Caenorhabditis elegans: one gene and its partners. The protein of the gene in region 3 interacts with the protein of the main gene of each other region in a pairwise test. Each region holds a gene or a part of one and is shown on either strand. Other genes may lie near its edges.

Region 1 (10,612 bases), on a different chromosome or scaffold from region 3:
GTGAAAAAAAAAAAAAATTGTACATTTTTCAAAAAAAAAATCGATTAAAATTAAATCCTTTTTTAAAATAAATTTAGACAAAAAAAACCTATTTTCTCTTCACATTTTTCGCATAACGAAAAACCTGTAAATTTCTGGAATTTTTACTAAAAACTCTGTAAATTTCCGAAATTTTCATTGAAAAATCGATAAAATCTCATTTTTTTTTTGCAGGACGACAATGGCGAAATTTCAAAAATACGAGAAGGTCTCCTAGATGGATTTTGTGCATAGTGTGAGAGCCACCACGAAAAACCTTCTTTTGTGTATTTTTGGTGCCAAAGGGTAGAAAAATTGGCATTTATTAATTTTTTTTTCATTTTTTTTGATTTCTTGTGGTTTTTGTACTCCCCTGCCTTAAAAAACGCCAAAAATGACCTATTTCGGTGATTTTTTATTCAATTAATCGATAATTTTTTTCAAATTTTTCAAATTTTTTCCCTACGTAAACTCTCAAAATGGTGCAATTTTCCCTATTTTTATTGTAAAATTTTTTTGAAAAAAAACATCTCACATCTTTTCCATATTCTCTCTCTGTTCCATCGAAAATCCCCCCACCGCGAACTGATCTTCAAAATTATTTAGCCCCTCAAAAATTCATTTTTTCTTTCTTCTAAAAGTCCTCTAATTTGCATAATTCTCATTGATTGTATATTTGTAAAACCCCCCTCCTACCCCCCTCACCACCACCACCAGCTTCATCATAATTTATTTATTAAAGTAGAGTTAATTGGCGGGATTTTGCTTCAAAAATTCCAAAAAAAAAAAAGACTAAAATTGTGAAAAAATCGCTTAAAAATTCAAATTTTGACTGAAAACTCAATTTTTTACTAAAAATTCAAATTTCCAGCAGAAAAATTCAAATTTTGACTGAAAAACTCAATTTTTGGCAGAAAATTCAAATTTTGACTGAAAAATTCAAATTTTGACTGAAAAATTCAAATTTTGGCTGAAAAATTCAAATTTTGACTGAAAACCCAATTTTTTACTAAAAATTCAAATTTTGACTGAAAAATTCAAATTTTGACTGAAAAATTCAAATTTTGACTTAAAAATTCAAATTTTGACAGAAAAATTCAAATTTTTGACTGAAAAATTCAAATTTTGGCTGAAAAATTCAAATTTTGACTGAAAACCCAATTTTTTACTAAAAATTCAAATTTTGACTGAAAAATTCAAATTTTGACTGAAAAATTCAAATTTTGACTTAAAAATTCAATTTTTTACTGGAAAATTCAAATTTTGGCAGAAAACTGGTTTTTTTTCAAAAAATTCCAACGAAAAAATCAAAAACTCTTTATTAGAATGGTCCGACCAATCAGCGCATCGCTCCGCCCACTTTTGGACCAATCAGCGCGTTCGAACGCGTTGATTGGTTCATAAAGTGGGCGGCGGAGCGATGCGCTGATTGGTCGGGGGGAGTTCTTATTTAGGAGGAAATTAGCCAAAATCGGAAATATCGGTTGAATTTTTCAATATTTTGGGATTTTTTGAAGCAAAAATCCCCTCAATTCACGCTACTTTTTCGCCTTAAAATTCAATTTTTTAAGAATTTAATGATTTTTTTTCCTAAACTAACCCCAAAAATATCCCAGTTTTTTCCCCAATTTTCTCAGATTTTTACTTATATTCCACCCAACTTTAACTTATTAAATATCCATACCCTACTAGATACGTTTTGGTGTCTTTTTGTCCAAAGATTTTTGAAAAAAATAATGTGCAAAAAATAAACAAAATAATTCATTTTTTAAAATATTCTTTCAAAATTTTTAATCCTAAAAATCAGTTGAAATTTCATTATATTTCTTTATTTTTTTTTTGCTCAAAAAAAATCGATAAAAAATCTGAAAATTTTTCAGAAATGCCTGGCGGAATGGGTTTTCCTAGTGATCCGGCACTTTTGCCACGTGTACAGGCTCACATTCGAAAGTTTCCCGGTACAAAATACTTTAAGCCGGAGCTTGTCGCCTACGATTTGCAGCAAGAGCATCCGTATGTGTTCTGGAAAAAAAATTGAGAAAAAACACGATTTTTCAGCGAATTTTGAGCTTTAAAATCGATTTTTTTGAATTGGAAAAAATATGAAAATTCACAAAAAATGGGAGTTTTAAGCTGAAAAATCGATTTTTCTGCAATTTTTTGAATTTTTAAAAATTAAAAAATTTGAAAATACCCATTTTTTAGGAAAAATGCGCAAAAAAATTTTTTCAGATATTTTTTGGATAAATATACAAAAAATTTGATTTTTTTTGAGAATAAATTCAAAAAAATTGATTTTTCGAGCTTTTCAATCGATTTTTTTGAATTTTTTCGGCAGAAAATTGTGAAACAAAACAGATTTTCAAGCGAAAAAGTCGATTAAAAATCAATTTTCACTAGTTTTAGAATAACATTTCAAAAAATACGAATTTTTAAGCGTAAACATCGATTTTTGTGCAATTTTTTGAGTTATTACACCAGAAAATTGTGAAAAATCAGGTTTTTTAACGAAAACAATTTTAAAAAAATTCGATTTTTCTTCAAATATATTTATTTTTTTAAAATATTTTTTTACCTCAAAATTTGACTGAAAAATTCAAATTTTGACTAAAAAATTCAAATTTTGACAGAAAAATTCAAATTTTTGACTGAAAAATTCAAATTTTGGCTGAAAAATTCAAATTTTGACTGAGAACCCAATTTTTTACTAAAAATTCAAATTTCCAGCAGAAAAATTCAAATTTTGACTGAAAAATTCAAATTTTGGCTGTAAAATTCAAATTTTGGCTGTAAAATTCAAATTTTGACTGAAAAATTCAAATTTTGACTGAAAAATTCAAAGTTTGGCTGTAAAATTCAAATTTTGACTTAAAAATTCAAATTTTGACTTACAAATTCAAATTTTCACTTAAAAATTCATATTTTTGACTGAAAAATTCAAATTTTGACTTAAAAATTCAAATTTTCACTTAAAAATTCAAATTTTGACTTAAAAATTCAATTTTTGGCAGAAAATTCAAATTTTGACTTAAAAATTCAAATTTTGACTTAAAAATTCAAATTTTGACTTAAAAATTCAAATTTTTGACTGAAAAATTCAAATTTTGGCTTAAAAATTCAAATTTTGACTTAAAAATTCAAATTTTGACTTAAAAATTCAATTTTTGGCAGAAAATTCAAATTTTGACTTAAAAATTCAAATTTTGACTTAAAAATTCAAATTTTGACTTAAAAATTCAAATTTTTGACTGAAAAATTCAAATTTTGGCTTAAAAATTCAAATTTTGACTTAAAAATTCAAATTTTGACTTAAAAATTCAATTTTTGGCAGAAAATTCAAATTTTGACTTAAAAATTCAATTTTTGGCAGAAAATTCAAATTTTGACTTAAAAATTCAAATTTTGACTGAAAAATTCAAATTTTGACTTAAAAATTCAAATTTTTGACTGAAAAATTCAAATTTTGGCTTAAAAATTCAAATTTTGACTTAAAAATTCAAATTTTGACTTAAAAATTCAAATTTTTGACTTAAAAATTCAAATTTTGGCTTAAAAATTCAAATTTTTTTCAGAGAATACCAACGAAAAAATCACAAAGTCTTTATGGGAATGGTGCGTGAAGCCTTGGAACGAATTCAGCTTGTCGCAAAAGAGGAAAATGACGAAAAAATGGAAGAAAAAGAGGCGATGGACGATGTACAGGAGATTCCAATTGTAAAAGCACTCGAGACACGGAAACGGAAGGCTCCGGCTGCTGGGAGGAAGAGCACAGGGTACGGGAGCGGAGAAATTCCGACGTTTGGGGCTCAAAATTCGGAGAAAATCGCTTCAAAATTAGAAATTTGGGGTAATTTTCACATTTTTCTGGTTTTTTTTCGGAAAAAACTATGATTTTTGGACAAAATTTCAAATTTTGACCGAAAAAATCGCTCAAAATGAGCTCAATTTGAGATATATTCCGAAAATTTCACAAAAAATAGTTATCTTATGAATTTTTGGTTTTTCGAGAGAGAGAAAACAAGGAAAATCACAAAATTTCACTGAAACAGTCGGAAATTTTCCGATTTTTCCGCATTTTCCGCGTCAAAAAGTGGCCCTAAATCGAAATTTCTATCGAAAATTGTGAATTTTCACCCCGAAAAATTCAAACTCCCGTGCCGTCAAAAACTCAACGTTGACACAGCTGAAGACGCTGCTACCGTAGTCCTTTTTGAATTTTTCCGATTCTAGTGTCGATTGTTTTTTTGTCAGCGATTTTCTTCGAATTTTCCGGAAAAATATACAATTTAAGCTATTTTCGGTCCTTTTTGCAACCAAAAATTGGAATTTTCCCTGATAATCGACAATTAGACCGAAAAATTCACTGAAATTCACTGAAAATTTCAATTTTCCATTAATATAGCTACCGTTTCAGTAGAAATCGAAAAATTTTACCACGTCTGCATAAAAACTCAGCCTTGACAATGTATCATATTTGCGTCCCCATTCGCCGAAAAACCATCTCAATCACCGAAATAACACGTAATAAAATGCCAAAATATGCATTAAAAGGCGACAATCATATAAAAATTAAGTTCCAACCGCTGCGACACCGAGAAGTTGCCAAAATTTGAGATTTTAGCTAAAATTGGGTCATTTTCTCCAAAACTTTGAGCGGTCATTTTTTGAGAAATTTTCAGAGCGTCTCATTACAAAATTTGTTAGTTTTGGACCATTTTGAGTCTAAAAAAGCAAAGTCTCAAATTTCACTACCCCACCTGTGTTAAAAACCAATTTTTGAAGTAAAAATTGGGGAAATATTCAAAAATCTCGCCAGGAACTACGGTAGCAGTGATTTAAGCTGTGAATAGTAACCGAAAATGATTTTTTTTTCTCAAAAATTTGAATCTCAAGGCTGAGTTTTTATGCAGACGTGGTAAAATTTTTCGATTTCTACTGAAACGGTAGCTATATTAATGGAAAATTGAAATTTTCAGTGAATTTCAGTGAATTTTTCGGTCTAATTGTCGATTATCAGGGAAAATTCCAATTTTTGGTTGCAAAAAGGACCGAAAATAGCTTAAATTGTATATTTTTCCGGAAAATTCGAAGAAAATCGCTGACAAAAAAACAATCGACACTAGAATCGGAAAAATTCAAAAAGGACTACGGTAGCAGCGTCTTCAGCTGTGTCAACGTTGAGTTTTTGACGGCACGGGAGTTTGAATTTTTCGGGGTGAAAATTCACAATTTTCGATAGAAATTTCGATTTAGGGCCACTTTTTGACGCGGAAAATGCGGAAAAATCGGAAAATTTCCGACTGTTTCAGTGAAATTTTGTGATTTTCCTTGTTTTCTCTCTCTCGAAAAACCAAAAATTCATAAAAGAAAACTGTTTTTTTGTGAAATTTTCGGAATATATCTCAAATTGCTCGGTTTGAGCGAATTTTTGTTGGTCAAAATTTGGTCCAAAAATCATAGTTTTTTCCGGGAAAAAAACCAGAAAAATGTGAAAATTGCCCCAAATTTCTCATTTTGAAGCCATTTTCTCCAAATTTTCAGCACCTTTAAATGAGAATTTACGTTGAAAAATCGAAAAAAAAATCACGTTACACTGAAAATTTCCCCGAAAAACGACCAAAATTTTTCAGCCAAGCCGCCGCCGCCAAGGAAGTAGTGCTCAGCGACGATAGCGAGGACGAACGAGCCGCCCGTCAGCTCGAAAAACAAATTGAATCGCTCAAAACCAATCGGGCCAATAAGACCGTCCTCAATCTCTACACGAAAAAATCTGCTCCGAGCACTCCCGTTTCTACTCCGAAGAATCAAGCCACAAAGAAGCCTCCAGGAGCTTCTGCTGCTCCACCAGCTCTTCCACGTGGGCTCGGAGCCGTCAGCGACACGATCAGCCCGCGCGAGTCCCACGTGAAATTCGAGCACATTGGTGGAGCAGATCGCCAATTTCTTGAAGTTTGCCGGCTCGCAATGCACCTCAAACGTCCGAAAACCTTTGCCACACTGGGCGTCGACCCACCACGTGGATTTATTGTTCACGGACCGCCCGGATGTGGGAAGACAATGTTCGCGCAGGCGGTGGCCGGTGAGCTCGCGATTCCGATGCTCCAACTAGCGGCGACGGAGCTCGTGTCGGGAGTGTCTGGAGAGACGGAGGAGAAGATTCGCCGGCTTTTCGATACGGCCAAACAGAATAGTCCGTGTATTCTGATTCTTGATGATATTGATGCGATTGCACCGCGTCGGGAGACGGCGCAACGGGAAATGGAGCGGAGGGTTGTTAGTCAGTTGTGCAGTTCGTTGGATGGTGAGGAGCACAACTGATTTATCGATTTTTTGAAGGGAAAAATCGATAAATCGATAATTTGAAAACTTCCGATTTTTCGGTAAATCGGAAAAACGAAAAATTTTGGATTTATCGATTTTTCGATTTTTCCAAACTTATCGATTTATCGATTTTTCCGAATTTTTGGATTTATCAATTTTTCCAAATATATCGATTAATCGATTTTACCAAATTTATCGATTTTTCGATTTTTCCAAACTCATCGATTTATCGATTTTTCCAAATTTATCGATTCATCGATTTTTCCAAGGGTTGTTAGTCAGTTGTGCAGTTCGTTGGATGGTGAGGAGCACTTGATTTAACGATTTTTTTGAAGAGAAAAATCGATAAATTGATAATTTGAAAACTTCCGATTTATCGATTTTCCGGTAAATCGGAAAAACGAAAAATTTTAGGACATATCGATTTTTTCAAATTTTTTTGATTTTCCCGAAAATTTGTGATTTATCGATTTTTCAAAATTTTTTTGATTTTCCCAAAAATTTGTGATTTATCGATTTTTCAAAATTTATCGATTTTTCAAAATTTATCGATTTTTCAAAATTTATCGATTTTTCCAAATTTATCGATTTTTCCAAATTTATCGATTTTTTCAAAATTTATCGATTTTTCCAAAATTTATCGATTTTTCCAAAATTTATCGATTTTTCCAAATTTATCGATTTTTCAAAATTTATCGATTTTTCAAATTTTTGGAATTATCGATTTTTCAAAAATTAAATTTTTTTGTGTCGATTTACGCAGCTTGTGTACTTCTCGAGGATATTTATTGCTTTTTTAAACGAAAATTTAGGATTTATCGATTTTCCGGCAATTTCGGTACTTGCCGATTTTCAAAGTTTCCTGCAATTTCAGAAATTGGCGGTTTTGGAAATTTCCGGCAATTTTGGAAATTTCCGGCAATTTTGGAAATTGCCGGTTTTGGAAATTTCCGGTAATTTCGGCAATTGCCAGTTTTTTTTTAAATTTCCGGCAATTTCGGCAATCGCCGGTTTTTTAAATTTCCGGCAATTTCGGCGATTGCCGATTTTTAAAAATTTCCGGCAATTTCGGTAATTGCCGGTTTTTAAAAAATTCCGGCAATTTCGGTAATTGCCGGTTTTTAAGATTTCCGGCAATTTCGGTAATTGCCGGTTTTTAAGATTATTTGGCGATTGCCGGTGTTTAAAATTTCCGGCAATTACAGCAATTAACGGTTTTGAAAATTTCCGGCAATTTCGGCAATTGGCGGTTTTTTTTAATTTCTGGCAATTTCGGCGATTGCCGATTTTTAAAAAATTTCGGCAATTTCGGTAATTGCCGATTTTCAAAGTTTCCTGCAATTTCGGTAATTGCCGGTTTTTAAGATTTCTGGCAATTTCACAAATTGCCGGTTTTTAAGATTTCTGGCAATTTCACAAATTGCCAGTTTTCAAAATTTCCGCCAATTTCAGAAATTGTCGGTTTTGAAAATTTCCGGTAATTTCGGCGATTGCCGGTTTTTAAAAATTTCCGGCAATTTCGGCAAAAAGTTTTAGACCACACCCACACAAGATGGCCAACAAATTTTTTTTGTTGCAGAACTGGTACTTCCACCACGCGAAAAACCACTCAAAGATCAGCTAACATTCGGAGACGACGGCAGTGTAGCCATCATTGGAGACTCCCCGACTGCAGCTGGCGCCGGTGTTCTCGTAATTGGTACCACCTCCCGACCGGACGCCGTCGATGGAGGACTCCGACGAGCTGGACGCTTCGAAAATGAGATTTCGCTGGGAATCCCAGATGAGACAGCACGGGAGAAGATTCTGGAGAAAATATGTAAAGTGAACCTGGCCGGTGATGTGACACTGAAACAGATCGCCAAGCTCACGCCAGGCTACGTTGGAGCTGATCTTCAGGCACTGATCCGTGAAGCCGCCAAAGTTGCCATAGATCGAGTCTTCGATACGATCGTTGTCAAGAACGAGGGACACAAGAATCTGACCGTGGAGCAGATCAAGGAAGAGCTCGATCGGGTGCTCGCCTGGCTTCAAGGAGACGATGATCCATCGGCTCTATCGGAGCTCAACGGCGGGCTTCAAATCTCGTTTGAGGACTTTGAACGGGCTCTCTCGACGATTCAACCGGCGGCGAAGCGTGAAGGATTTGCGACGGTGCCTGATGTTTCTTGGGATGATATTGGAGCACTGGTGGAGGTGCGGAAGCAGTTGGAATGGAGCATTTTGTATCCGATTAAGAGAGCCGATGACTTTGCGGCTCTGGGAATTGACTGCAGGCCTCAGGGTATCCTGCTCTGCGGGCCGCCGGGCTGTGGAAAGACCCTACTAGCCAAGGCGGTGGCTAATGAGACGGGCATGAACTTTATCTCGGTGAAAGGCCCTGAATTATTGAATATGTATGTTGGAGAATCGGAAAGAGCCGTCAGAACGGTGTTCCAACGGGCTCGAGACTCCCAACCGTGTGTCATCTTCTTTGATGAGATTGATGCTCTTGTGCCGAAGAGATCGCATGGGGAGAGCTCTGGTGGAGCACGGCTTGTGAATCAGTTGCTCACTGAGATGGATGGTGTCGAGGGGAGACAGAAGGTTTTTCTGATTGGAGCCACTAATCGGCCGGGTGAGCTTTAGGCAAAAAATTAGCTGAATGAAATCGGATTTTGGTTCAAAAAAATTCTAAAAATAAATTTTTGCCTCAAAAACAAAAAAAAATTATTTTTTTGCTGAGAAAAACACCCAAATTAATCAAATTTAAAAAAACCCCTAAAAATCAATTTTTTCCGAAAAAAAACCAGAAGCTCTATTTTTGCCAAAAAAAAAGTTCAATTTACCAAAAAAAAATTTTTTTTCGGAAAAAAAAAGAATGTACATTTTTGTTTAAAAAAAAAATTTTTCAAGAAAAATACTAAAAGCCTTTTTTTTAAGACAATTTTTTTGCCAAAATCAATTTTTTCCAGAAAAAACCTTTAAAAAATCAATTTTTTGTCAGAATTTGTCAGGATTTTTTTGTCGATTTTTGCCAAAAAACCAAATATACCAACAAAAAAAAAACACAGTTTTTTCGTCGCAAAACCGAAAAACATTATTTTTTCCAAAAAATAGTTCAATTTTCCAAAAAAAAAATGTTTTTCGGAAAAAAAAGTACATTTTTGCAAAAAAATTTCCCCAAAAAACCAAGTAACACAGTGCATATAATAAACCGCAAGATAAACTTTTCCCTAAAAACCCAAAAAAAATTTTCCGAAAAAACCACCAAAAATCTATTTTTGCCAAAAAAGAATCAAGTTTTGCAAAAAAAAACCCAAAAAATTCATTTTTTGCCAGTAAAATATCAATTTTGTTTGAAAAACCAATTTTTCCGAAAAAAACCCAAAAAAAATCTTTTTTTTTTCTAAAAAAAAACCAAAAAATCAATTTTGGTTAAAAAAAAAACGAAAATTGACAAAAAAAAACCAAAATATCAATTTTTCTGATAAAAAAAACAAATCCATTTTTGCTAAAAAAAAATCTCAAATAAAAAACGAAGAAATACAAAAAAATCCATTTTTGCCAATAAAAATCCATTTTTTCCTGAAAAAACCAAAAAAAAAAATTTTCCCGTTTTTTCAACACTATTTCCTTCCATTCCAGACATTGTCGACGCGGCAATTCTCCGTCCAGGACGTCTCGACAAAATTCTATTCGTAGACTTCCCGTCAGTCGAGGATCGTGTCGATATTCTCCGAAAAAGCACGAAAAACGGAACTCGGCCGATGCTCGGCGAGGATATCGATTTTCACGAAATTGCTCAGCTTCCAGAACTTGCCGGTTTCACGTGCGTCGAAATTTTTTTGGCAAAAAATTTTTAAAAATTTTGAAAATTTCAGCGGCGCCGATCTGGCGGCTCTCATCCACGAATCGTCGCTTCTTGCACTACAAGCCAGAGTTTTAGAGGTTTGTTTCGAGAAATTGGTGGCCGAGGAAAAATTGGTGGCCGAGAAAACGATTGGTGGCCGAGAAACAAAATTGGTGGCCGAGAAAAAAATTTGGTGGCCGATAAAAAAATTGGTGGCCGAGAAACAAAATTGGTGGCCGAGAAAAAAATTTGGTGGCCGATAAAAAAATTGGTGGCCGAGAAAAACATAATTGGTGGCCGAGAAAATAATTGGTGGCCGAGAAAAAAAAATTGGTGGCCGAGAAAATAATTGGTGGCCGAGAAAAAAATTGATGGCCGAGAAAAAAATTGGTGGCCGAGAAAAAATTGATCACCATTTTTCTCGTCCACCAATTGTTTTTT
Region 2 (9,899 bases), on a different chromosome or scaffold from region 3:
GTTCGAACTTCACCGTTTGGCATAGAAGGAAGACTGATGAAGAGATCTGAAGATTTGAGAAAATTTGAGAAAAGTTCTGTAACTGAATTTAAACTTACTTGGAACGGACAAAATATTAAAATCGCTTGTTTGAGAATGGTCAATTCATAACTATTCAAAGCAGATTTCTTGATTAAAACCATTCGAATAATTACAGAAGTGTAAACTGCCAAAATAGTTATTGGCACAAGAATTTGTTGGACTATTTCTATCTGAAATTATTCATGAACTTTTAAGGTCTAATAAGAAAAGTATATTTGTATATTTTCCGCTGGTCTCCAGTAATTGCTTCAATTAGTTCATAATCTTTGCCAAAGGGCAAAGTCTTCTTGAAGGCAGATAGGCTTGTCTGCTTGATAAGGGCCGTTGGCAAGCATGGTTTAGCATGGTACAAACATAATTAACTTGAGTTCAAAACGTTCTTACAACTTGGATTACGGTAGGTGCACTTTGTATAATAATTCCTGTTGGTGTTGTGCATTGTAAAAAGTAATGCTTCAACTTTTCATCATATTCATATCTACAATTACTCAACATCATGGATCCTGAAATGAATGCTGAAAATATCCAAACAAGTGTCATCCAAATATAAATTAATTGTCAGAAAGTCAATATAGAAATCATATCACTGTGAGGCTCTCCACGTACTTGTTGAATACTTTTCCCGTAGCCTTTGCAAAAAGGAATACAAACATTCTATGAATTGCAATTGTCAAGTTCGAGAAGAGTATAGAATTATGACAGAAATCAATAATACAGGACATGTAAAAGAAAGGAGCTGTAAAATATCAAAATGTACATTTCTAGAATATTCCGGTTACCCGACTGAACAAATGACTCTGTTATCATTGCAAATAACGTTGCTGGAACATTTATCAGAACATTCAGAAATGACATAACGAATACAGAAAAAGTTAGTTGTGTGAGAAACCAAAATAATATCATCTGAACCCGAATACATAATAAACATGACGATTTTAGTCTAACCTGTTTAAACCGACTCCATAAAATAAAACAAAGGACTAGAAATCCTCCAGTTAAAATTGTTGAAACAAGAGACGACAAGACAAACGAAGAAATCACAAAATAGTACATAACATCTTTATCCTTTAGTGGCAAATTTGCTGTGATCTAAAAATCGGAAATGTTTGCATTCCCAAAATGCGAAATTTTGGTGTCGGCGCGACCAAACTTTTTGAAAGATTCGAAAAACAAAGTGGTTCTTTAAGAAGTAGGGTAATTTATTGCTTGGATGAGTAAAACCGTAGACTTTGAGGTTTAGATATACTATGAACATATATCGTATGTTCGCAAAAGGCTTTCCAGATGCACTTTAGAATTTCAAAATTTATAAACTTCATTTTCAACATTAAATGAGAAATTCTCTAAAACTTGGTGCCTGGAGAGTCCACGATGACTGAGATCGTGGTGAGACCCACTCAGAAAAAACTACGTGTTCCTTTAAATAGACATGACAAAATTTCGCGAATCTATAATATTTAATTACACGCAGAACGTCTTCCTGTTCTTCTTTTTTGATAAATTATCTAAAAAAACGACACCCAATTCCTTTTTTGGTTATTATTCAATCCGGATTAAAATATTCCCATTACCTCTCCGATGGATGCTTATATCTCTGCTGTTGAAAGTAGTAAAGTCTGTATCAAAACGGCTTCCGGTCTTACTATTAGGATTCAATATTTCATCTTCTCCAGGAACTGTTGGAATAATCAATAGCCAATAAAAAAGAAACAACATTCGTAGATACTTTGATTAATATCTATGAAATCACCAATTCTGAAACTAACAGTTGAAATCAGGGAAAACTAATTACGAAAGTTGGGCACAAGTGTTTAACAATTGCTAAAAAATACCACCATTTGATCTTACTAGGGAATGGTGTTACCCCTGCAATCGCTAGGAGGACAAAACAAACTTTAAATGACAGATGAGGTCTTTGGCTACAAAAATCATTTTTTGGAATCTGCTTAACTCTTCCCCAAAGCTGAACTTTTCGGCCTTAAAAAGTAGTCCTCTTTTTGCTCAAAATGCCGTTTTTCGTGTGTAGAAGTGGCTACATAAAAGTTTGGAACTGCAGCCGCCGTTCGAATGGCCGATTGGTGAACTCTCGTGCTCATTAATCTAAAGGTCACGGGTTCGTTCCCCAATAGGTATTAATTTTTTTTTGAATTTTTCCTCTAGCATGAAATATGCACAAAAACACGGTTTCTTTCGTTTTTTGGTAACTTCGGAATAAATTTTTTGGTTCCTGAGAATCATAAAAGTAATTTGGAAAATTTTTGGAAGTTTTCTTTTTTTGATAAATTTTCACTTTTTTCCCACCTGATATATGCACATTTTTTTCTTCAAAAATAATTTTTCAAAATTTTTTCAAAAAGTGTTTGGTTTGAAAGAGCAGCATTAGTTTGGATATTTCTACGATTTTGGAGGATCAAATGTCATTTTTAGGAGAAAACCACTGTTGTTTTCTCTAGAGTTTTTCACGAAAAGGACTTACTTTCAAAGACTTCCAGCTCCGTTGACGGGTAAAATAAAAAAAAGTTGTCAACTGCAAAGTTGTTTTAAAAGTACCAATAAACAAATTGTCAGTTGAATCTACTCTGCTAAATTTTATGGGTAAAGAGATATAGCTAATCGAAGTGAAGCTTTAACTTACGTTAGTAAGTTAAAGCTAAAGTTAGCAGAGTAAATTCAATTGACAATTTGTTTATTGGTACTTTTAAAACAACTTTGCAGTTGACAACTTTTTTTTATTTTACCCGTCAACGGAGCTGGAAGTCTTTGAAAGTAAGTCCTTTTCGTGAAAAACTCTAGAGAAAACAACAGTGGTTTTCTCCTAAAAATGACATTTGATCCTCCAAAATCGTAGAAATATCCAAACTAATGCTGCTCTTTCAAACCAAACACTTTTTGAAAAAATTTTGAAAAATTATTTTTGAAGAAAAAAAATGTGCATATATCAGGTGGGAAAAAAGTGAAAATTTATCAAAAAAAGAAAACTTCCAAAAAGTTTCCAAATTACTTTTATGATTCCCAGGAACCAAAAAATTTATTCCGAAGTTACCAAAAAACGAAAGAAACCGTGTTTTTGTGCATATTTCATGCTAGAGGAAAAATTCAAAAAAACGAAAACGGCACTTTGAGCAAAAAGAGGACTACTTTTTAAGGCCGAAAATTTCAGCTTTGGGGCAGAGTTAAGCAGATTCCAAAAAATGATTTTTGTAGCCAAAGACCTCATCTGTCATTTAAAGTTTGTTTTGTCCTCCTAGCGATTGCAGGGGTAACACCATTCCCTAGTTAGCAGATGCGAAGTTTTCTCTTGTAATCACCACTTCCCTGCTGCTCTCGTGCTTAAAATTCAGAACACAATTTAAAACTTTGAAACTTTAGATTAGAACTTTCAAGAAATAAACAGAACATGACACATTAATAAAAAATGAATAAAGCAATGAAATACAAACGGTAACGTGGATAGTAAAGCGGGACAAAACATTTGCAAACGATTTCAAAGAAGCAATATTGAGATTCATAGTCAGTGGGGAACGTGAAAATGATATAAAAACAAGTTGGGCAGGAACAATAATACGGCGTTTCTATGCGGTTTCTGATACAGAGTTAACAATTGCAGATTCCAACTTTGATTCAGTTCCATTATCCGTCATTGGTTGCGTTTCCTTTGGTGGATCGACTGGTTCCCCGTAAACACGAATCAAATAAGCACATGTCTTTGGCATATCTCCATGATTTTCGCGGAAACGGAATTGCACGTGATTGATCGGTGAGTGATTTTGAATTGTTGGCACCGAACAGAATTGTTCTTGCTCGTCATAACTTCCATCACGTTCCTTATATTCACAGTTGGCGACAAGAGGCTGCCATTTGGTGCAACATGAGTCCGTGCATGCCTGAAAATATATAATTAGTTACTGAACACAATTTTTATATAGCTTACCACGACATCGTAGAGCTTCGGGGCATGATTTGGAACAATCCCGCTCCATCTGACATGTTGATACGAGACACTTTTCGGTATGACAAATCTAGCGAGCTTCACGGTCAAGGTCGCACGTTTATCGTATGTGCACCACGCTTCTCCTGGGGATAGAACGTCGCGATCAAGCAAAGCATATCCCTCCTGGAACGTTCCGAAGTATGACATGAAATCGTAGAAAAATCCATCTTTTGCAGAAACTGGACGTGATGAACAAGAATGATCGATTGATGCACCAATAAGACTGTTGGCAACATTCACTCCAAGAAGTGCTCGGCGTGTTATGTGCATTGGTTGAAGCTGGCTAGAGGGAGGAAGCGATGCAGTTGGTGCGGTCTCTGGAGCCTTTTCTGGTGTACTGTGGATGATCTTTGTGCTTTTCTGAAAAATTAGCATTGGGAAAATATATTAAATTTGAAAATTACCGCATCATCGATTTCCTTTTTCATTTGTTGCAAAGCATCGCTAATTTCTGCTTGCCATAATTTGATCTGTTTGAGCTCTTCGATTGCCGACTCTTTCCATCCTTTGCTGTGTTCCAAAACGTTTTCCAGTAGTTTTTCCAAATGGTCAGTTTTGAAATCGAGTTGTTTATCGTGCGCCGAAAACTCTGCTCGGAGATTGGAAATCTAAATAATATAAAAATTTATTCTGACTGTTCATTCATTGTACCGTCTGATGAAATTTCTGTTTTTCGGACGCCCAATTCGCGTCTTTATCCGCGTAGGATCCTTCTGAATTATGATGCGTTCCATCGAATAAACAATCACGAGCATCTGAAATTATTCATTTAGATACCCACAACACGTTTTCCCGACTCACACTTGTATAACATAGCAAAAAGAACAACAGCCATAAGAGTACGTTTAAACTGGGCCCACGTTGGAACAAAACGACGCCGAACCATGCGAATGCGATATTCCAGCCAGTCATACCACATTTCCTTCTTCATCGAAGTGATTTCTTTGTAGCTAAAATGCTCCTTGTAAATAAATTTCGAAGAGTTCAGATCAATTTCAGAATCGTCAGCCGACTCATGAAATCTCTGAATGGTGCCTGTAATCGTTCCAGGTTGGGAATCTCGCCGAGTAACTGGAGTAGATGTGTCTAGCGGCTGATGAACTCCTGTTCGAGATACAGAACGGGTAACTGGAGGACTGTGGCGATTCGAAAACTGCGGTGAGATGGTGTGTCGCAACGCCATACCGAGTAGATCTGGAAGTTTAGAAAGAAATTGAATGAAAAAAGCCTGTGCGGAATTGTAATTTGGAAATTAAGAAACAATGCAATATTTTCAAGAGCGAGAAAGTTGTTTCAATTAAAATAATTATGAATTAATTGAAGTTTAACTGCACTTTACAAAGCATAAACTTTTTAAATGCTTTATATTTGTCTTAAAACAAAAAATATCCGAACTGAATTCGAAAAATGAAAAAAAAAACCAGAAAATCGAAACCTCGAATTCAAGCAGCCCCGCACTGATTGCGGCAATTCTCAAGATCGCGTCGAGACCCTCACCGCTGACGTATTGCACCTTTGAAAGTTACTGTAGCAGTAAATATGATTTGGCAGGCACAGAAATTTTTTGCGAAGAGTTTGTTCTCATTAAAACACGAGTATTTATTCTAATATTGGCAAAAACATTTTAGAAACTGATTTTAGTAATAAAAATTAAATCGCTCTCGAAGTTTGCCTTCTCTGCTGTGAGTTTGAATTGGCTTGTGAAGTAGTGAGAGAAACTCTCACAGAAACGAGTTTCCGAATTTCTTTTGAAGTGAAAAAGAAGAAGCACGGCGTTGCAGCTCCAGCGCATATTTCAGTCTGCAATACGGATAATTTTTCAAGATTGCTATGGAAAAATTAAAAAAAAAACGAACCGTATTAATAATCCGTTTTATCAAAAATGCAGTTGCTATTTCAAACTTGATAGTTTGGCATAATAGGAAAACCGACGATGAAATCTGGAAATTTTTTTTTTCATTTTTTCGTTCTTAAATCAAACAGGACCTGAAATAGGCAAAATATAAAAACCGCCTGTTTCAAAATAGTGAGCTCGTATTTGTTGAGTGCTGCTTTTTTCATTAAAATTATTTTAATGATAATTGCAATATATATTCCCAGAATAAATATTGGAAGAATAAATTGTATTAAAATTTCAATCTGAAAGTGTTTATTGGACTGGATATTTTCATTATTGTGCTTACAGTTTGTACAATTGTCGGTGGAGCAATATTTTTAATTCCACTACTAGTTTCACAACTCAAAACATAATGTTTCATTAAAATTCGTTCATCATATTCATATTGGCAGTTATTCATAATCATAGACACTACAACAAAAGCAGACAATACCCATACCATTCCCATCCAAAAGTATGTTATCGGTCTGGGATTAGTAGATTAAAATTCCAAAAATTTCAGAATTCCCTACTTTTCAAAAGCAATATCCGTGTGTTTTTTGAAAAAGAACACAAACATCCGATGTATTGCAATTATCAAGTTTGAGAAAAGTATTGCATTATGACAGAAATCGATTACATTGGACATGTAGTAGAATGAGGCTGAACAAAAAAAATGATTCAAAATTGATTCAAAAAAAGTTACCGGATTGAACGAATTCCTTGGTTATCAAAGCAAATAATGTCGCTGGTACATTAATTAAAAAGTTTAAAGAAGACATTATGAAAACAGAAATGGTCAGTTGAGTTAAAAACCAGAAAAATATCATCTGAATTTTTTCAATAAATTCCTTGGAAAAAGTTATGTAAAACGTGTTTCATTACTTTTTTGAAATGGCTCCAAAGGATCACAGAAAGAGCCAAGAAAACTCCAGTCAAAATAGTTGATGCAAATGTGGACATAACAAACAAGGTGATAATAAAATAATAGAGCCCATCCTTATCTTCTGGTGGAATGTTACCAGCTACCTTACAAGTTAAACATTTAATCTGCGACAACTATTTCATTTCAGCTAGTGTTTTTTCAAGCTCAACTGGTTCAAAACTGAATACCAGCGAAATTTTTCGAATTATTTTTTGAAAAGCTGAAGTTGTGGTAATTTACCAAAATTTTAACAAAGTTCAATCTAAAACATATTGGAGTTTAGAAATGATATTTGCAAAATTTTAAAAGATGAAAAAAGTTTTGAATTCAGGTTTCACCAATATTATAATTTGAAAATAGATTTTAGACCAACTGACCTCTCCAAGAACCGTGTCTTTTAAATCAGATAAATTCTTTCTTCTAATAAAGTCATTAGAAAATGGATCATCTCCTTGTCCATATACTACATTTAAAAATATCAAAAAGTAGAGTAGAAGAAACATAGATTTCATAAACTCAACAAATTGAGTACGCTGATTATTTTGGAAAACTGAAAAGCAGGTGGAGTCAAGAAATCAATTAATTTCAAAAACTCAACACATGACTAGATGAAATTTTCAGCTTTGATGTGAGATCATGACGAGATTAGGAATTGGATGAATATCAAGTAGCACTTTGAATAAAATTGTTTTGAATGTTATATTTTGTGTAGATAAGTTGAAACTAGACATTCCACCCAATTGAGCTCTGGAGCGCCACACTTCACAAGCGTTAACGTTCCGAATTAAACGTTTCACATATTGGATTTTTCTACGTGCCCAAAAAATTAACAATCATTAATTGAAAATATTAAATAATTGTTCCATTTTTTCCTATAAAGGAGGATTATTTTTCTGCTTTGAACCAAAATTATTAAGAACGAAATTTTTATACTTTTTCAGTGGTCAGAATAGTTTATGATTAAAAATTTTATTCCAGAAAAGAATTGCATGATATATTTTCTGATTTATATTATTTATTTAGAAAGCTAAAAAGTACATTTCTACACGTTTTAAGATTTTAAAACTAGTCCCCTTTACAACATATGTTAGTGGTATAGTGGTATAAAGTTATAGTTCCAATTCTTGAGAATTTAAATAGAAGAATCATGCGACCGATCCAAGAGCAGAGATACTTGACACATTCCGAAGTCTTATATTCGAACTAGCTTGAGAATTATTCATAGAGCTTTTAACTGATGCCATCTTTTTAATTTCTTTTGAAGTGAAGAAAAAGAAGCAAGGCGTCGCCGCACCAGCTAATATTTCCATCTGAAATCACAAGTTCAATGCAATAAGTTTTCAAAGTTATTATCGAACCGTATTGATAACTCGTTTGATAAGAAATGCAGTAGCCACACCGAATTTTACCGTTTGACAAAGAAGAAACACGACAGAAGATACCTGTGAAATTGAATAGATTTAAATGGGATAGCTAGGTAATGTTTGATTACTTGAAAAACAAAGAATACGAAGAATGCTTGCTTTAAAATGGTGATTTCACTTGATTTCAGTGATGATTGTTTCATTATCATTATCTTGATTGTAAGTGCAATATAGATCCCAAAAATTATACAAGGAATTGCAAATTGGATCACTATTTCCATCTGAAATAATATTTTTTAAAGTGGTTCAGAAGCTAATTTCTCTGTTTACAATTGAGATTGCTTTTGGTGGCGGCAAGTTGACAACTGCACTTGTCTGACAATAAAGTTCATAATGTAGAACATTCAGTGAATACCTATAGCGGCAGTTATTATACATCATAGCATACACTACCAATAGTGAAAGTAGATATACAGATATCATCCACGCATACATAAATGGCCTGAAAGCGTTCAAAGTTCATATGATCAACTCTGACATTGTTTTTACGTGTCAAAGACACTGTCCGCCAAGTTTCGAAAAAAGAAAACGAAACATCTCTGAACTGCGATCACCAGATTGCAAAAAAGAATAGTGTAATGGCAAATGTCTATGATATAGGAAATGAGAAGAAACGCTTCTGGAAGAAAAAAAGAAACAATTGATGATCACAAAACGTTTCGATACCTGATTTCACAAAATCTTTGGTTAAGAGAGAAAATAATGTTGCAGGAACATTGATGAGAAGATTGAGAATTGAAATAATAAATATAGACAATGTGAGCATACATAGAAACCAGAAAAATTTCATCTGAAACAATCAAATTGGAAACTGTCAAAAATTTAATATCGGCAGAACCTTTCTAAAACTTAGTTTTGAAGTTTGCATCGTTTATGCCCGATAAAAAAGACACAAGAAAAACTTGGTGAGAAAGACAAAAAATGGGTGAAACTTGGGAAAACTTGGTAATCCTTGCCACGTTATATCAAAAGATGTCGCTAAATCCCAAGTTAATAGAAGATTCTCACTTTTGTGAAAAACCAACTCATTGCAAACTATTCCTGAGTTTAAATTCATCTTACATGTTTGAATCTCTTCCACAGGATCACCGATGCAACAAGAAATGCTCCAGTTAGCAATGTGGAAATGATTGTCGAGGCTGTGAACGTTGCAATAATAAAATAATACAAAAAATTCTTATCTTCAGGAGGAATCTCTGCATCGACCTGAAGTTTACTAGTTATACCTATTTTCCAATAAATAAAAAATTACCTCTTCAAGCGGTGAACTTTTAGGAGGTGAAACTCCATCAGAAGATTGCAGATGAGCATTTGCTAATATTCCAAAAACAAACAAAAGAACAATCGAAAGCATTTCAAAAGATTAATCGATTAAAAAGTGAGTTCAGTAAGTATTAGAAAACTAACTAAAAGTTGATTTCGTGAGAGATGAAAAAGCAGCTGGAAATCAACATTTTCGCGCCTGAGCACGTTATTGCCTTTTATAATGATTAAAATGAGAATGTCTTGACGTTTTTTCTACGAACAAATGTCAATAATACAACTTTAGTTTCGTGTTTAGTGTAATCTGCATCATAATTTTTTTTGGAACGCTTGATCCAA
Region 3 (10,611 bases):
AGATGAAAAATGTAATTTTCTAATTTTTTTTCAATAATTTTCAGCCAACTCACTTCCATCGCGATCAAATGGGACTCCCGAAAACAACGTCCCGTCGATTTGTTTGATGCAAGACCATTCATTCTTAACGACATCATAGGAAAACAGTTGGGCGACATTGAGCAAGAATTGGCAGAAGATCTTACCTTTCGGTAGAAAATAATCCTGAAAATTAATTTTATGTAAACATTTAAATTCGAACAGAACAACTGAAATGTACCTTTTCAAGCATTTTTTGCAATTCTTCAAAAACTTTCAGCGGCTCAAAATTGTATTGCTTGAGAATTCGTTCAAATGCGGACCACATCTTACACTCTTTCGCCAGTTGCACCACACTCGGGACATCTTTCACTTTTGGAATCATACTGATAGCCTGCGAAAAAAATACACATTATATATCAAACTTTTGTGTTGTTTCAATAGTTAAAATGACCCTAAAAACCGAATTTTACAACAAGACTTCAAAAAAAAAAAAATTAATTTTTGAAACAGTCTCGTTATCAAATTCAGTATTTCGTGGCCATTTTACATTTTAAAAGTTGTAATACCTTGTCATAAAAATCGCCGAGACAATATCTATCCTTCGTTTCTCCAATATCCATGAGTGAAAAATTTGAAAAACAAAACCAATTGATTTCTTCATGTTGTTCGTTCACAAAACGCTCGATTCGGGCGAGCCTCTTATTAATGGCAGCTTCACGATCATCGTCAAACACAAAACTTTGCTTTGTTAGAAGCTTGATATCGATGTTATACTGCACACGTGTCGCTCTAGCGATCGCCACATCAAATCTTGTGACCCTCGCGGCGTGTTCCTCTTTGGTCAAACGTTCAGCACTCCAGTGCTCAATGGCATCTTCTGGCTTAAGTTTCATAGTTGAACGGAAATCATAGTAGGAGTCAATAAATTTCGTCAATAGTACTGTGCATTTTTTGAGGAACACGGCAAAGTCATCACAAATGTCGTCGGTTCGAGACACTTCCCCACTGATTTCAATTGCAAATTCTTGATTATCTTTGATTCCTCTCGAATTATGATCTGCTTCACTAGAAATGGAACAGACAGCTGTCTCATTTTCGAGCACTTCGGGAATGTTGTCGATGATGGGAACTTGTTGAACCATTGAAGAATGACTTTCAGAAGTAGAAGGACCATCTATGTACACCAAGCTATTGCGTGAAGACCTCCTGTTTCTAGCTTTCATTGGTGGTATTGCTACGAGCTTCGCCTTTCTTTCAACCTTTTCTGAAATTATTTTTAGATAAAAAAGTGCGGAAGATTATATATCAGTGGAAACATATTTTTTAAAGCTACATGGAAGGCACATGTGCTGTGAAAAGTTCCTATCATCAAAATAAAAGTGTCTCCCTACAATGAGCCTTTAAAGAAATTAATCAAAAATATGTAAAGCATCTGACACCCACTATAGCTATTACAGAGACAAATAAATGTTATTATTATCACAATACCTTTTTTCTGATTATGTTCCTCCAACGTTTTAATGAAAACTTCCCGGCCATCGTTCTGAAAAAGAAATATTCAGTAATCAAGTTTACTCCAGTTGCTTACCAAAAGTTTTTCCGCATTTTTGTGTTGCAAGAGCTTCTTTTCCACAATCTCCACCATGGGTCCCAGGTTCGATGCAATCACTGAAGCTACTTGCATCTGTAAATGATCCCCGTGGTGCTCTCGTTCATGACACATATTCTCGACGGATTTTCTCTTTCTCCGCACACTTGGTTCATCGTTATTTCTGTCAGAGCTCGAGCTAACTTCATTATCCGATGTGGGTCTACTATCGGAACTATGTGAATCGTCATTCACATGCATATCGTTTTCTCTGTATTTCCTTTCTTCGATTTTCGAATACTTTTGGATGTTTTCCGCAAGCTTTTCCAAGTGTATGTCACATACCAGTTCCGGCATAGGCTCTTTGTAGATTTTGAAGCTGCCAGACAGTCGAAGAGTATCTCTAATGGAACCTTCGGGCTTCTTGCAGTGGAGAGAAGGGCCGGCGTGCTCAGAACTTCTCGATGGACGAGATCCTCTGACCTGAAAAACATCAAAGCTTTAGAATTCAATGAGAAAATTTTTTACACGATGAGAATATTTGTTTGGAAAAAACTATAGATACCAAATAGTTTTAAAAATGTTAACTGGCTCTCTTGAATGCTAAAAAATCAGAAAAATTAACAAAAAGAAGCAAAGTCGTGTAGGAAAATGGGTAGACCGAGTTAAATTTCAAAGGGGGTGTTAATAAAACAACAATATTAACTTTTGTTTAAAAGAAACTGCGGGTTTCCACACCTAGAACATAGAGATTTCGTCATAGATTTTGAAAACACATGTTTCGCGCGCTTTCACTTGCATTGATTCTACCTTCCTGCAGAGTAATTGAAATAAATGTTCTTATCTCTTTTCGAAAGCGTGTGCATTCATTCAGAATGAACATAATAATAGAAAAATTGATGGCTAACTGTACTTAATGAACCTTGCCGAAGAAACTGAGAAAATTCAATAAAAGAAGGAAAAATGGAGGCCCAAAAAACTCGAATCTTCCAAACTGAAATTCTACAGTAAGCGCTATCGCGTTTTCGCTGCGAGACTCTTCCGCATGAATGCACCTCCCTTGAAGGATGCAAAAGTACTGTAGCTTTTAGTAAACATTTATTATTATTTACCCGATAATCTCCGTTATTTTGGTGCATGATTTCTCGCCTGAAATAGTAAATAAGAATGAAAGAAGAAGACCAACATTCCGATATTTTCAGACCGAAACTGTTTAAAATGGTATATCTAACAACAAAACGAAAAATAATAATTTTATTGAAGTCAATCTTAGAAGAATTCGGGTGATTTTTCTGACTTGTCCGGAGATGTTGGTGGCGAGCTTGTATCAGTATTGAATTCCATTCTCATGATTTGGGTACTCTGAAAGCATTTCCAGTATTAAAAATGTAAATAAATAATATTTGAACCTCTTGTCGAATTACTAGTCGTTCGTTTGCCATTTTAATCGCTCTATGAAATTCATCTTTGTAATGAGCATCCCGTGCATTCTTGAACTCCGTGTCACTTCCCGATTCACATGGTGTAATGGACAGACGACAAGGCGTCGGCGGATCTGGCTGAAATCATGAATCTTAAGACTAAAACTTCGTTGAATCATGCAAATACCACAAAGAGATGTCCATGGGTGAGGGCTCTTGGTTGATAAGTGACTAGGAGATTGCGTTCGTTGAAAATTGCTCGTCGAGCACGTGTCACCCATTGACCGAAAACAGTGAACCACTGAAAATAGTACGTAATCGATAAGTTAAAATACTGAAACAGTACAATATACAGGGATAATGATATGAAGACTGCTATCGGTCTAGATGGAACTCCATTGATGGCAAGAATCTCGATAAAGTGAAGCAGCAAAGCAAATGTAGTAATGACGCCAACAGAGGAAAGAAATCGAACATCTTCAAAACTGAAAGGAAATTGTAAAAATTACGGTTTTCGTGAAAACTCATCAAATGTCCTTTTGGAATGCACTTTGAATTTAGAACACAGAAAATAACTTACTTCATGTTCGAGACTAAAAGTACGACTTTCAATTTAATGAGGCGTGTTTAAAAATGATCAATTTGGAAGTTTCGAACAATAGGGAATAAATCATTTGGATGCGATAAAATAATAGTCCACGAAATTCTTTACGTGAATGTATTAATTCGATTAATTAAAATTATAAAAGAAACTGAATATATTTGAAAAAAAAAAGCAAGGATGAGATGAAACAAGATGTGTTGAGTATCTGTAGAAAACATTAAATTTAAGAACATTTGGGATAGATCTGAAATTTTGGAGAGAAATAAAACAAGTACAAATGAAAAAATGAGAAAACTCGTGCGAAAAAGTATAAACGTATTTCGAGGGGAATATACAGGCAATATTGTACACGATAGGTTTTAACAGCATGCAAAATTTTTGAGGGAGTCATAGAATTTCTGGTGCAATTGCATGAACTTTGGGAAGTCTTCAGGACGGATCACAGTTTCTTCTGTAGTTTTTGGATACATCTCACTGGCTGATGAACGACGGAATTTTTGGAAATGTGATGGTATATGTCGCTCCGGTACTGATACATTATTGTTTCCTATTTCAAGAAGACGCTGCTCGAGAATTGAGATTCCATTCTGAAAATTTAAAATTTAATTGAAAGTTGAGACATTTTCAGCATACGGCGATAGTTTGTGCATCAACGACGTGTTTCAAGAACATATGGATAATATGATCAATTTTGAATGTCAAAACGGGCATTCGTTTTCCACTGAGAAGAGCTCCACGTCTGAAATTTTAAGTGTTAATTTAAATCTTCAAATTTCAAGACTCATACTTGCTGAGTCTTTTCAACCGATCCGCAACTTCATCATCCAATTGTTCTTCTTCATTTGAACAAATATCAACTGGAATAACACATGACCATAGCTTGACGGGTATATCAACTCCAGGAGGCATCACAACTGCGAAAGCAAGAGCACTTCGATCCTCATCTGACAAAACTTCAACACATCTTTGAAGAGCCATTGCGAGTGACTTGTACGAGTAAGGGGTGATACATTCAACACCGACTAATCCTCGACTTTCCAATTTGTTATTAAGCTGTGCCATTCTGAATGCAAAATGTTTGATAATTTTAAGAATATACCTAGCGATTTTGGACTAAAAATGTATTATTTCGTTTCGACATTCCGGAAAATGATTAAATAAAAAGAGTATGCGGATTTAAGAAGTACAGTAGTCTCCAGCCTTGCTGTTTTTCTATTTTACTTGATTTTTTTTAAATATTTTATTCAGTTTTTAATATTTTTAGACTTGTTTCAAAATAAAAGGCTTTAAATAAAAAGAAACAACAAGAGAAAATCGAAAAATAATGAAAACAGGCTCATACTCGCTTTCATTTAAAAAATTTCCGTCGGGTCGAGACCGTGTATCTCTTGTTCAATTATGTAAAACGATAATTTTCTTAAAAAATTAAATCGATGGCAAATATCAAGAAAATCTCTCGGGTACGGTAGCTACACAGTTTTCTCTCGTGCCAGGATCCTAATTCTTGATTTTGATCCTCAATTCGTAAAATTTAAAGACAATCAGCTATGAAACTTTTTGATTAACTTTTATTGTAGAATAAATTATTTTAAAAGTCTCAAATTGGTATGTCCCACTCACTTTTCAAATGTTTTCGGTTCACAAGACTTGAAAAACATCATAAGCGTTGCTGGATTTCCACTGCTTAGTTCGATTGTTTTATTAAGCACATCTTCTTCTTTTTCTCCAACAGGCATCGGCATTCCATAAGCTTCTAGAAAATCATAACATTCATCGATTTCCAATGATGTCACTTCAATGAATTCGCATGTTTGAGAAGCAGCATTTGATATTTCCACGTCACGAGTAGTTACAAGACATCGAAGACGTAGCTCCTGAGCCCAACGAATTGTTTCTTCTTGAACTACGTCATCAAATACGAATAAAGTATTTGGACGATCAATGAGTGCGTTGCAGATCTAAAAACCAATAATTTAAGATATTGTACCAGAATCGGCAAGCAACTTACCATCCTTTTGAGTACAACTGACGTGACATGCTCCACCGATGGGAAATTGAGAAGATCGTCTTCGCTTCTTGAAAGAACACGGTTAATGAAGTCGGTGATCGAATGCGAGTCATCCGTGTCGCTCACAACACGGGCTCGTCTTCAAACACACAAAACATGCAAGCGTCACGAAATATCAAATTAAAAGCTAACCAGGTCAAATTTTCATAATTTCAAAATCATGCTGAATGTTACATGCACTCTATTCACTCACTTTAGCATCAGCAAAATATCCGTAAATAAATCGAATGTAGATTTTGGAGCTGTTCCACTATCTTTGAGCCAAACGATTGAATCATAATTTCTGTAATAGAATGAAGATCCGTAGGATTCAGATAATACCACTCACATTCCAATAAGTTGGTCAGATTTCGAAAGAGCTTGTGATGCAATTACTGATTTTCCGGATCCAGCTCGGCCGTGTAGAAACAGAAAAAAGGAGTCTGAAGTTTAAGCAAGATTATAATAAACACGAGAGCTTCCAGTTTTCTCACCTAAATCACACATCTCGTCGAGCTTTTTGATCACTCGATCCACGTGATACTCTCGAATATAGCATGTCATTTGTTTTGGAACATTCCCAAGCAATAGTTTCCTATCGAGCATTTGTCGGGAAAATTGTGGAGCAATCACTACTGGACGAAGTAGATCTGGCTCATTTATCGCAAAATCGATGTAGTCTTCGAGGAAATCAGCAAGGTGACTTTGATTGTTGTAGTTGAAAAAGTCGATGAGTGGTCCAAGTTCAGAAGCTTGACGTCGATAGATTCGAAGAAAATTGGCGATCCTCTCGAGGCGAGTTGACATTTTACTGATAAGTTCAGAATGATCTTCTGTGAAAATGTTTTTGCCTTCTAAATAAGTCAATGCGTCACGTGGTTCAAAGTCGTGGATGAGCCTCGTGTGTGCCGTGCTCAAAGCGCGGCATTCGATTTCGCAGAGCATCTGAAAAATCTTCTTGATTATAAGGAAGCAAGATTTTGTGAATTTTAAAATGCTAGGTGATGTTTTCGAAACAACGGTTAGCTGGAGAATATACAATAGCATTGATAAAAAATTATTTGTTAAACATTATATACACTTTAAAAAAACAGGCATGTAATATAGAGGATAAATCTCCAAGCCCGAAATGTGCATAAATTGTGAGGCATAAAAATACCTTGAAAATGAGTAAAGAACATTGTATAATCAGATAGAAGCAAGAAAGATTTTAAAAAAATACAGTAAAGCTTACAGATAAAATGAAATTAAACATGAAGGAGTACTAATTTATAAAAATCGTTGAATATAAATAGACCGGAAGATATGCTGATCTCGAATGCAACGAGTAAAAAGTAGACAAAAATAAATTCGAATTTTCAGATAAAAATGCAGTTTATTTGGTAGAAACATTGTACAGGAATGTGAGAGGCCTAATAAACAAAAATATATCGGCAAATCGGCATATAGTTCTTATTTAAAAAGCGAATGAGTAAAACAGTGAAATATCACAATCCTTTATCCTTTCCTCTTTGCTTAGTGATTGTCACACGTCCTTCTTCTAAATCTTCCACTGTCGCTGATATTTGCCGAGAATCCCAACCCTGTAATACAATATTCAAATACAAAAACAGTACATTTTGTAGCTTCATACAACAATCAGAAAAATTATAATTTAAATTAAAAAGAAAGCCAAGCCCTCTTTATTGCGTTTTATTGATTTTTAATCGTTTTTCGTTAATCTTCGAAAATTAATTTGGAAAAAAAAACAATTTTTTTAATTGTAGAAACATCAGATAACTTACATTAGCCCCTTTCAAGTTAATCATTTTATCGGTGACAATTTCGAGTTTTGCGAGCATTTCTCCAAATATTCTGTTATACGCATAGACATCTTCGCCGTGTTTGAATGACTTGTTATCGATCACAAGTTTCGGTTTCTGAATCGATACCGAACAGACAATGATTCGACGCGAATTCGGCCGATTCATAATAATATCCAACTCTTGTCGAATTCTCGGATTTTCGAAAGACAAATTCAGCTTGAATTCAGGTATTCGAGTATTCTGATTTGAATTGAAGTAAGTGACTGGCTCAACAAGCTGTCCTCCTCCACGTCCTCGCAGAGTTTTCTTGTTGGACTCGAACACAGGCGGAGCTGACTGTTGTTTATGAATATCGATGACTCCGTATTCATGCAAAACTGTTTTGTCCATTTCATCACTCCTTTTCGTGAATTCGTCTAGCAATTCCGTTAACCGCAATGTGCATTCTGCTTGATCTGCGGCACTTCTTGTATTGAAATCATTTTTTGCTAAAGAATTTGTATTTTGAGCTTTTCAAAGTTTTCAACAATTCAAAAGATACCTTTTAGTTCGGCTCTCGCGCGATGGCACTCAATTCGATCCTTCTGGACTTTTCTATCTTTATCGAAGTTCCGGCGAGCAGTATGTAAAAGTGGATGATTGTCTGAAACATTTAAATTTAATAATTAAAATAAAATCAATAAAAGATAATCTTGACAGCTGGTTTACCGTGTTCCAACATTGCCAGCTCTTCAATTAATTTATTGATCGGCATGTGACGAGCATGTCGGATGAAATCTGAAAGAAAACCATTATCATGTGAATGTTAATCAATAATATATACCATCGTCAAACTCCACATCGTTTGTGTTAGATGTACTCGCAATTCCAACGTCCTGGAATAATATATTCAATTAAAAATGTTTTAAAATACTAGTCTCTCACCATCCAGGATTGTTATAGGTTAATTGAGTGACAGCTGTAAATGTTTATCGGAACTTTAATGTTTTATAAAAAGTAATTGTTAGAAAAAGTGAAGAGTTATAAAATATTATTTAAATGAAGCAAACAAAGAGCAAGCTGCTCCGCTTTGCAATTCGAATTGCCGGGAATATCAATCGTCGTCAAATCAGGTGCATTGGTACCATAAGCCGTCGAGTGTTTGCACAGAAACACATTTTTGTTTATTTTTTGAATTTAAAAGTGTAAACTTTATGATTTTGAAATGGTTTTTTTATGTTTTATTTTCCTTTTTCCTGTATTTTAGACCCATCGGTAGAAAATGAAAGCAACAATAAAGCTCTGGTGTCTAATAACCGGCTTTGTATATATTGCGCCCAGATTCCTTCTTTATTCATAATTAAAACATTGTTTCGCGAAAAAAAAATGTGTCGAAACTTCGACACATTTTCATAACTTTCATTTTGAAAAAGGGGACGGGCTTTAACACGTCCTTTTCCACAATTCATATGTCTTCACGAAGTGTGCGTGGATTGTGACTTCTACCCAGTTTTCTTTCCATCTCTGCGTCTTGCTCTCCCCAATTTCACGTGATAGACGACGCAAGCCTGAAAAATCATTATTAAAAATCTATCACTCGTTTTATGAAAAAAAGTTTTCAGTGATCAGCCAACAATGTCACCACGAAAGCATGAACAGTGTTTTAATTTCGATGCTGAGATATCGGATATTCAAAAATGCCTTGTCGAAGGTCATCGCACAATTATTTTAATTCGCGGAGTTACGGGATCCGGAAAATCAACATTAGCTCGAGAGTTGGTAAACCATTCCGAAAACGGCGTTATTGTGAAAAACGATGTTTCCAATAATATAACAAGATCAGGTATTTAATTTAAACATTGTTTGTGTACATAATAAAAATTAATTTCAGTGCGAAAATTTATCGATGAAGATAAACATCTTATCGTTGTAGACGAGGAGAACGTACAACGATCAAGTGTTAAAAAATTCGCAGAGTTAGCGGTTAATGGCCACTACGAAATTTTCGTGTTGGAGCCGGACACGGATTGGAGACACGATGCAATTGAATGCAAAAAGTTTGAGTTTTAATTCCTGAATTTTCTTCTAAATATTTCATTTTACAGAAGAAGCGAAAAAGATGAAGAGATCGGGTCTATCGAGTCGAAAATCATGCAATTAAAAGAAAATCAACTCGGCTGGGAACATTTAGTAATTGGTGGAGAAGCTTCAGTAAAGTAAGCCAAAAGCTCAGTTGGTGTCAGGCTTTCCCACATTTTCATCTAAAGTTTTTTTAAACCATAGAATAGTGATGTGGCACGCTTTTGACCATGTTGAACACTCTGGCACCACGTAATTTTAATATATTTGGCAAGCGTGTAATTTGAACATTAAAAATACAATTTTCAGAATTTCAAATTTCCACATCGATACGGAGATTACCAGTGTCCTGTGTAAATCACCAATCAGTTCAGTCAATAAAGGATCACTGACAGAATCGACAACTTCATCCACATCCTCACTATCTCAAATATTCTCAATGACTCCTGAAATCAAAGTTAAATCAATGAGAAGTGTCGGTACTCAAGTAGACGTTCAGTGTAGTAAGTTTAAAATCTTTTTTTAACTATCCAACTAAAAATAAAACAATTTTCAGTTACCTACGGACTGGCAGGCTTTGATTCGGTATTCAAACATTGTGGTGTTTTTTCTGGTGAAGAACATAATGTTTCAAGTATTTGGAAAGGACCAGTTCGTATGGTTGAAAGAAAAACTGAAACGGAGAGTTTTGAGATATCTCAATATGGGGAAACTGTTTTCAAACCTTCTCTTCAACTTTTAGTGTAAGTATTTTTCAAAAATTCAAACAAAATTCGAGAAGTCAATTTTCAGCGGTACATCTGACGAAATCGCATTTTCATTGCTTCGTCACGTGTTCAGTAAAATGGATATTATAGAGCTTCGTCATTATCTTCAAGTTCTTGGATTCGAGAAGACGTTCAATTTGATGTATAATCTCGGCGAAGAATTCATTGAAGGAGAAATTCCAGTTGACGAACGAATTCTTCTCGATGAGATTGAAGCTTTGGAGAGCTTCACTGTTTCAAATATGACTATTGAAGAAGAAATTGAAGCTAGAAGAGTTGAGAGACTTGCACTCAAGTTTG

What was found.
Region 1: the proteins of ced-4 (region 3) and mac-1 interact in binary tests that used the Caenorhabditis elegans proteins (3 or more experiments, as listed by UniProt).
Region 2: the proteins of ced-4 (region 3) and sun-1 interact in binary tests that used the Caenorhabditis elegans proteins (3 or more experiments, as listed by UniProt).

What each region holds. Positions count from the first base shown.
Region 1 is NC_003280.10:13,312,198-13,322,809, reverse strand, and holds the start of mac-1 (Protein mac-1), read left to right. Parts: upstream 1-1,898; 5' UTR 1,899-1,900; coding exon 1,901-2,031; intron 2,032-3,590; coding exon 3,591-3,791; intron 3,792-5,648; coding exon 5,649-6,319; intron 6,320-7,918; coding exon 7,919-8,956; intron 8,957-9,966; coding exon 9,967-10,150; intron 10,151-10,202; coding exon 10,203-10,269; intron 10,270-10,612. Other genes in the region: Single-stranded DNA-binding protein homolog sam-10, read left to right, coding at 214-273. UniProt on the Caenorhabditis elegans protein: Probably together with ced-9, plays a modest role in preventing ced-4 and caspase ced-3-mediated apoptosis.
Region 2 is NC_003283.11:13,188,273-13,198,171, forward strand, and holds sun-1 (Sun domain-containing protein 1), read right to left. Parts: upstream 5,267-9,899; 5' UTR 5,256-5,266; coding exon 4,874-5,255; intron 4,828-4,873; coding exon 4,724-4,827; intron 4,681-4,723; coding exon 4,477-4,680; intron 4,433-4,476; coding exon 4,013-4,432; intron 3,966-4,012; coding exon 3,654-3,965; 3' UTR 3,430-3,653; downstream 1-3,429. Other genes in the region: F57B1.1 (G-protein coupled receptors family 1 profile domain-containing protein), read right to left, coding at 5,723-5,872, 5,929-6,012, 6,059-6,211, 6,256-6,436, 6,482-6,611, 6,655-6,778, 6,834-6,977, 7,251-7,376; F57B1.9 (G-protein coupled receptors family 1 profile domain-containing protein), read right to left, coding at 8,019-8,183, 8,232-8,315, 8,366-8,518, 8,568-8,739, 8,787-8,916, 8,964-9,087, 9,360-9,503, 9,550-9,651. UniProt on the Caenorhabditis elegans protein: Involved in centrosome attachment to the nucleus. Required for zyg-12 localization to the nuclear envelope. Together with pot-1, it is required to anchor telomeres to the nuclear envelope in embryos.
Region 3 is NC_003281.10:4,848,340-4,858,950, reverse strand, and holds ced-4 (Cell death protein 4), read right to left. Parts: upstream 6,627-10,611; coding exon 6,176-6,626; intron 6,125-6,175; coding exon 6,031-6,124; intron 5,986-6,030; coding exon 5,898-5,985; coding exon of another isoform or gene 5,896-5,897; intron 5,778-5,895; coding exon 5,643-5,777; intron 5,593-5,642; coding exon 5,255-5,592; intron 4,698-5,254; coding exon 4,422-4,697; intron 4,374-4,421; coding exon 4,268-4,373; intron 4,222-4,267; coding exon 3,994-4,221; downstream 1-3,993. Other genes in the region: C35D10.7 (ULP_PROTEASE domain-containing protein), read right to left, coding at 54-204, 260-412, 588-1,285, 1,510-1,564, 1,610-2,092, 2,722-2,748; C35D10.8 (PH domain-containing protein), read right to left, coding at 2,879-2,971, 3,019-3,168, 3,218-3,331, 3,377-3,515, 3,611-3,615; F26A1.1 (Non-structural maintenance of chromosomes element 4), read right to left, coding at 7,169-7,264, 7,466-7,974, 8,028-8,129, 8,195-8,263, 8,310-8,361, 8,411-8,413; nonu-1 (Smr domain-containing protein), read left to right, coding at 9,101-9,308, 9,357-9,522, 9,571-9,681, 9,854-10,047, 10,101-10,287, 10,337-10,611. UniProt on the Caenorhabditis elegans protein: Component of the egl-1, ced-9, ced-4 and ced-3 apoptotic signaling cascade required for the initiation of programmed cell death in cells fated to die during embryonic and postembryonic development.